Linked DNA regions of Xenopus tropicalis. The protein of the gene in region 2 binds, or shares a complex with, the protein of the main gene of each other region. Links are inferred from orthologs where the notes say so. Each region holds a gene or a part of one and is shown on either strand. Other genes may lie near its edges. The genes, in order: pola2 and pola1.

Region 1 (3,832 bases), on a different chromosome or scaffold from region 2:
GTCCTCCACTAAAAATATATATATTTTTTTTTTTTTGCACAATGAAAGAAAATTCTAAGCACCTTTACAATATTAATTTATTAAAGATTTTCTATCATATTAAAGATATATGTTGTTGCATATGAAATCAGTATTCTCTGGTTCTGGCTTTTAATGTAACAGGGGTCAGATCTCCTCTAGGTTTTGTAATCAGCTTTTACCAGCTGGCTTGTAGCACTGTTTCAGGAGTGCAGAAAATGTAAACAGACAGATTCATTTTGCTACTTTCAGTAGCAAATGTACACATATCAATAAAACCACTGAAACTATTTAATGTATATTTAAAAAGTTGCTTAGAATTCTATTTTTACCGAGGTTGGGGGGCCTCTTTAACCGTATGGCCAGCTTTAGTTGTTAGGCAGTTCCAGCTAATATTGTTTGAAAAGTTTAATTTTGCTTTGTAGCTCAAAGGGACTGACCTAGCAATCACATTACCTGCTTATTTCCTCTGCACCCATATGAAAGAGCAAGTCTGTAGAGGTTATGCCTAAGATAACACCATTGACAGACAACGTGCAGGGATCGGCAACAAAATGGACCCTCTGAAAATGAAATCAAACAAACACACAACTGAGTTGTAAAAATAAAAACACGGACAAAAGAGATAAAATGGTGATATAAGCAGTAAGCCTACTAACAGCTTAGGCTCCTGTTAAAATTCGTTTATTGGGCCAGGGACCAACTAATCCATGTTGTAGACCAAATCAGGCAGTAGTGATGTGCAGGTCGAGAAATACTCGACTCGCACCTGACCCTAACTCGCCCGTTCCCAAACTGAACTGGCTTCCTCCATCTATTAATAGACCCGCGTCTGCCCGCAGTGACGGCCAAAAGGGGCGGAGCTTGCCGGAAGCACGCCTATAAATTAGAGAGCCAGAAGAGGAAGCTGGCAGTGTTAGGTTGTTGGCAGGGAGGGCAAGCGAACCTGAACCCGCCCGCAACCAGCAGTTGATGTGGGGAGGTTGGCTCAAACCCCCCTGACCCGCACATCACTATCAGGCAGGTCCAATAATCTAGCCTCCAACTACCTCAACATTAGAGATGCACAGAATTCTTATTTTTGGGATTTGCCTGAATCCCAAATGTTTAATGCAGGACTGGGGTAAATCCAAACCCAAACCAAATTCATATCCTCATTTGCACATGCAATTTAGCACCCAGAATAAAGTGCACGTAGGAATTTTTTTTTTTTAATTGTGTGACCAAAACTTTTAGGGTTCAGATTTAGTTTGGCCAGGCACTTGAATTTGGCCAAATCAGAATCATGCTGAAAGGCTCAGATTCTATTTGCTAAAATATTTTTGGTATATTTATGCCAGGTTCATGGATTGTGCAGGTTTAAAAAGTTTCTGCTGTGGCCAACATAGGTTTCGTACGATATTATCGGTGCGTGTATGGCCAGCTTTAGTTACTGTCTCTGGCATCTTACAGCAGCCCCTCCCTGCCACTTGTCAAAATCTACAGATTGCCAGTCTGTACTTGACATACATTATATAGTATTGGTCGGTCAAGGTATTATACAGGGTTGGCCCATGTATAAAATGAAACTATTAAAAGGTCACAGAACAGAGCTTACGTCCTTGTCTTCTTTGGCCGGTTCAAAACAGCTGAATGGTGGCTGAGGATAGACAGGATCATGATGAACATCTCTGAGAGATGGAACGAAGACCAGATGGCACCCCGAACTGAAAAGTAATGAGAAGTATGAGAAATCACCTTCAAACAATTGTTTAGCTTCTTTTTACTTATTAACTTGCTGAAGCATGGTCAGGCATTAGATCTGCAGTGATATCAAAATTTCAGTTCCAAACTCTGGCTAACCATGGCTTACATTGTTGAATGTATGTCTGTCATTATAAACATAGTCTCTTCTTTTTGGTTACCAAACAATATGCATGCTCTATTCCAATGATCCCCAACCAGTAGCTCGTGAGCAACATGTTGCTCACCAACCCCTTGGATGTTGCTCTCAGTGTCCCCAAACCAGGTAGTTATTTTTGAATTCCTGACTTGGTGGCAAGTTGTGGTTTAATAAAAACAAGATTTACTGCCAAATAAAGCCTCCTGTAAGCTGATAGTGTTCATAGAGGCTACCTAATATCCAATCTTAGCCTTATTTGGTACCTCCATGAACTGTTATGATGCTTTTGTTGCTCTCCAAGTCTTTTTACATTTGATTGTGGCTCACGAGTAAGCAAAGGTTGGGGATCCCTGCTCTATTCAGTACAAACTCTCTAGCTGTGCTGAGGACTGATCCCCAATGCCTGGGATTCCATGCAGCTGCATGGATATTATGTATTCCTGTTCACGTTTATGCAGTTAGCTCTGACATCAGTTTCAGATTAACATTGTTTTCCTCATTTATAATCCAGTTCAGCTTTCACGTACGCACAAAGAAAAACAGATTTATGTACAGTTTCATAACTATTTATAAGAGGATTTAGGCAAACAGTGGCCAGAGATCTAATCAGAAATCCACTCTCTAGGTCCCTGCAGAATTTTGACCATGCAGCACTCTTCTGGCAATTGCACACAAGGTTCTTTGTAGTGGTTTCTGGCTACTCAGCTCACAGAGGCAACATGGAGGCTGGCACAATTTTGAGGGTTAACCCCCAGTTTTAGGAACATGTCCCAGGTAAATGTATCTAGCAGTGCCCTACCTACATTCTGATACTGTAAAATTATTGCATCAGAGTAGGTAGTGCATGGCCAAGCCTTTACTGCCAAACCTTACTTCCCCCCTACACACTACAGCACTAGTATGCGACAAAGAAAATTTGCTGCTGATAATTAGATGGCTTGGCCTGTAAAAACGCACCAAGCACTAAAAGTCTAAAGGGCAACATTTTACATTTGGGGCTTTAACTATTTATCAAAGGGGTGAAAAAAATGCTATTTACGTGATTAGCAAGTTGAGTTCCCTTCTGGTAAACTATGTTAGGTCCTATTTGAATGTTTATTGGGTATGCTTTACTATTCTTTTCTTCTGTTTTCTAGTTTAGCATCTGTCAGCGAGAGGCAGGCAAGGAAACCACAACATTTGTGTATGGCTCATGTGGTTGCTTTTGCTTAACACAACTGGTTCAGCTACCATTTAAAAGGTCTTCATAATATAATCTGAATCAGGTAATCAGGTAAGCGATTACAATCACAATCACATTTTGTCATCACCAGTGATTGTAACTTTCCCTCTTCTTAAAAGACTACTTCACCGTGACAGCCCTAAGGAAGAAGAGGTCTAACCCCCCCTCCTTGCTTCCCTCTACGTGTGTTTTTGCCTGATAATAAAGCTGAAGTGAACTCCCCATCTCAACTTTCTTCCCCCCCTTCCACTTCGTTGCATGTCTAGATCATTGTGCCTTTGAAACGCACTGCAACACATAGAATTTGTAAGGTCTTGTTTCTTTACAAGTATTAAGCCGGCAATACACGCACCGATATTATCGTACAAAACCTCATTTCGTACAATATTCGGTGCATGTATGGCTGGAAGAGGCGACCTATATTGCAAAAGGCTGTGGATATTGGCCGTCTCGTCAATTGGCCAGGTTAAAAGATTTTGATCTTGAGCAAAATCTACGTTTAGGGCTGAATCGGCAGGTGGAGGTAAAATTTTTATTTTTTCTACCTTCATGTTTTACGATTCAGCCCTGAACGTCAGTGGAGTTTGGGAACAATCTTTCGCGTGACCACTGGTCGCACGATAGATCAGAATTTCTACATGTATGGCCAGCTTAAATATTTTTTTTAAATTAAAGGAATACTGTCATGGGAAAACATGCTTTTTTTCAAA
Region 2 (3,075 bases):
GTGCTGATATTTAAAGGCGAAGGAAAGTCATTTTGGCATTTTACTGCCAGTAGATTAGCCCCATTCGTGCAAGCTAGAACACTATATTTATAAAGAGCCTTAGAAGCTCCCTCTGTTTGTTTAAGATTGCAGCTGCCATTTTAGCTCAGTCTGTGTAGCTCAGATCACACATTCCTAAGTTAGTGTGGGATAATTCTTATGGGAGGGGTTAGCAGTAGAAGAAAGAGAAGAGAAAGCTGCACAGACTCCAGCCTCAGGAATGAAGGTTTTTTTCTGAGAGGTGTCTGATATGAAAGAACATGTTCACAAAAAAGGAGTCAAGAAATCTTGCGTTTCATTTAATAGAGGACTTTTGTGAGTGCTTATGGTTGTATTTACATAGACCTTTCTGATAAAGCTTCATTTTTACCTTTCCTAATTTTGGATTCCTGACATGTCTCCTGACAGTTAGGCAAGAGTTTCGTGTATAAAGAATTTTTCCCATTGTTTAATGTGATTTTTCATCTGCAAGCACTAAAAGTCAAATTCCTGTTCATATGGGCTAAATTCTATGTGGTTACAGATTTGTAAAGGTGCAGAAAAAGCAATGCAGCGCATGTCTAAGGCTCACTATTTGAGTCAGTAATGTTTTTTCCAAAGTCATTCTTATCATAAGAGCGCCAGAAAAGATTGATATTTCAGGACCAACCAGTAAGTTGCATAAACATCCAGGATCATCTTCCATAACTGTGAAAAGATTTATAAAATATTTGAGTTGGAAAGCCCAGAGTGAATATGTATAAAAAAAAAACAAAGAATATTCATGAGATCTTCTGGGAAGGCCCAGGATAACCAGCAATATTACAGAAGTATTCCACATAACCAGAAACATTATATTCACACATACTCCAGCAAACTCCAACATTGCACTGGATTAAACTAGTCTTGCTTTCCCATACCTTATAATATTTAATATTTCCTTCTCCATATCAAGTGATAGATACATTATGAAACCTGAAAGCAATTTTTCAGCAATGCCAATTTACCCATAATGTTGCAGACATAATGACCAGTTTGTAAAGTTAAAGGAAAGGTATGTACAAATTCAACCCCAACATATTACTAAATTGAGTTAGTATTATCAGTGGAAAAAATATGCTCAATTTCCCATTATTTATCAAGCCCTGTCCTTTTCTTTCTTACCAATTACATCCCCTATCATTTCCAAAACCTACAAACTGTTTTCAATCAACAGATTTCTTTATTATAGTGTGCAGCATGCTTGTTACTCCCTTCTATGTGGAATCCTTGATTGGACAAGCGGGTTTGAATTTAACATGGACTGTGATTGCACACATCAAATAAATTAAAGCTGCCAATCTCTCTTTGAAGAATCTTCTTTATGTAGTATTAGTGAAGAGCAACATGAGTGTATTTGTTTAGGGGCAAATGAAAGGGGATGAATTCTAGATATGGAAACTCTTATTTCTTTACACATTATGGATTTCTCCTTTCAACATATAGCTAAAGAGCTACCTTTCTGCTGCTAGTCTCAAATGGCAAATTATTATTTGTAATATGAACTGAACTACATAGCTTTTAATCTAAACCATATATAAATGGCTGAAGCATAAAATCTTTTGATTAGTTTGAAATGTCAATTTCTAATAAAAACAACTGAGCTTGGTTTAATTCATAGGGAACCATGCCAAAATCAGTCTAAACCCACTAAAAAGCTCTAACGTGGAACAGAATATGTTCTAACCAAAATGCCACCAATGCATATTGTTCTGCAGAAACCACAATAACAGATGTACTGTCAAAGGAAACAATTTAATTGCCTTTAATGAGAAGGTGAGCAGGAACCCTAACTCTGAAATGGCAGTGTATGTGGTCTACTTAGGGGGGCATTTACTTAGGTTAGTATTTTTTTCCCAGGATTCACTTTTTTGGGAATTTCTTTACCATTTATGCATCAAAACCATGAGAAACGCAAATGTAAAAATACACCATCTAAAAGCTGTTGAAGTCATGTAGAAATCAATGAGAGTTTTCCATAAAAAAGTTGCTTGATTTCTTGAACAAGCAGAATATCCAAGGATATTGTGATATATAGTTTATGTATGTGAGCGTATATAGTTATGTATGTGTAGGTCGGTATGGGTCTGTTTGCGCACACTGGGGTTCGCTTGGAAAGGTTGAACTTTGATCTTTTTTAACCCTGTTTAACTATGTACATAAACTATGGGTTTTCTTGCATTGATGTACACTATGTTTGCTGCCAACGATAAGAGGACTTTAATAAGGGTATGTTTTGCAAGAGTAGCATTCCATGTACTATGGCCTTTTCTTATAACTGGAATGAATTAGTTTGCTTACCTTTAAGGCTGCGGCACATAAGGAGATTTGTCCCAAGTAATAAATCTGTGCAACCATGGGTAGCACGTCTCCTGAAAATGATTTCCCACTGGCAATAATGTTAATCGCTGCTTGCAGGGGGGAAAGCATTTAGTCATCCATGGTAGAGGAGAATCAATGCAGTTGACTAATCTCCTAGTGTTGTATCAGCCTAACATGTACTACTAATCCCATTTATTTATGGCAATGCTTATATTTGCTTCTGACTTCCCAGACAGGACTGTATAGGGTTCTATGGCTTGTTCTCCATACTGAATAACTGATAAACTATGTAAAATACCATTGGTTTAGCACCTTATTGGTGGTATTTGAAAATCATATTTTGAGGATCTATACACCTACCTGGCAAGGGTCATTATATAAAAAGCGATATCTGATGAAAAGAGTTCATTAGAAAAATATTTGATCCCCCTTATATAATTTAAATTGCATTTTAAAAATTATGAAGATTTCAATTGAAAATTAAATAGCATCCCCCACCCCCCATAAAAATGAAGTGAACATTTCATATGGTTATAGGATTAATGATGAACAATTTCTGAAGGCTAATCCTTATTTCCTTACAAATCAGGTAGCCCACAATACCATCTTATGTATCAATTACATGTGACCTGTGAGCTTTAAATGGTTCAACCACAATCATTCCTTGGGAAATGTATAAGTGCATGGAATTAAATG

The links.
Region 1: the proteins of pola1 (region 2) and pola2 are in contact, whole or in part, in a cryo-EM structure (PDB 8G99), measured with the Xenopus laevis proteins. The link is inferred for Xenopus tropicalis from reciprocal best matches to the Homo sapiens genes POLA1 and POLA2. Residues at the interface, in NP_001082055.1 of Xenopus laevis: Gln548, Lys551, His553, Gln554, Asn555, Phe642, Glu645, Val646, Gln649, Asn652, Leu673, Gly675, Arg676, Phe679, Lys1137, Asp1141, Pro1143, Asp1144, Ile1321, Gln1322, His1324, Asn1325, Lys1326, Leu1328, Leu1329, Arg1332, Ile1335, Lys1336, Tyr1338, Tyr1339; in XP_018112289.1 of Xenopus laevis: Met280, Tyr281, Lys282, Phe283, Met284, Phe285, Gln286, Lys287, Leu288, Met289, Ile291, Arg292, Val295, Ser296, Ile299, Glu314, Thr316, Leu320, Pro321, Gln323, Glu324, Thr325, Val326, Gln331, Gly333, Cys334, Asp335, Ser336, Asn337, Gly338.

Annotation. Positions count from the first base shown.
Region 1 is NC_030680.2:31,682,801-31,686,632, reverse strand, and holds part of pola2 (DNA polymerase alpha subunit B), read right to left. Parts: intron 1,725-3,832; coding exon 1,616-1,724; intron 582-1,615; coding exon 475-581; intron 1-474. UniProt on the Homo sapiens protein: Accessory subunit of the DNA polymerase alpha complex (also known as the alpha DNA polymerase-primase complex) which plays an essential role in the initiation of DNA synthesis.
Region 2 is NC_030678.2:40,737,194-40,740,268, forward strand, and holds the end of pola1 (DNA polymerase alpha catalytic subunit), read right to left. Parts: intron 727-3,075; coding exon 557-726; 3' UTR 542-556; downstream 1-541. UniProt on the Homo sapiens protein: Catalytic subunit of the DNA polymerase alpha complex (also known as the alpha DNA polymerase-primase complex) which plays an essential role in the initiation of DNA synthesis.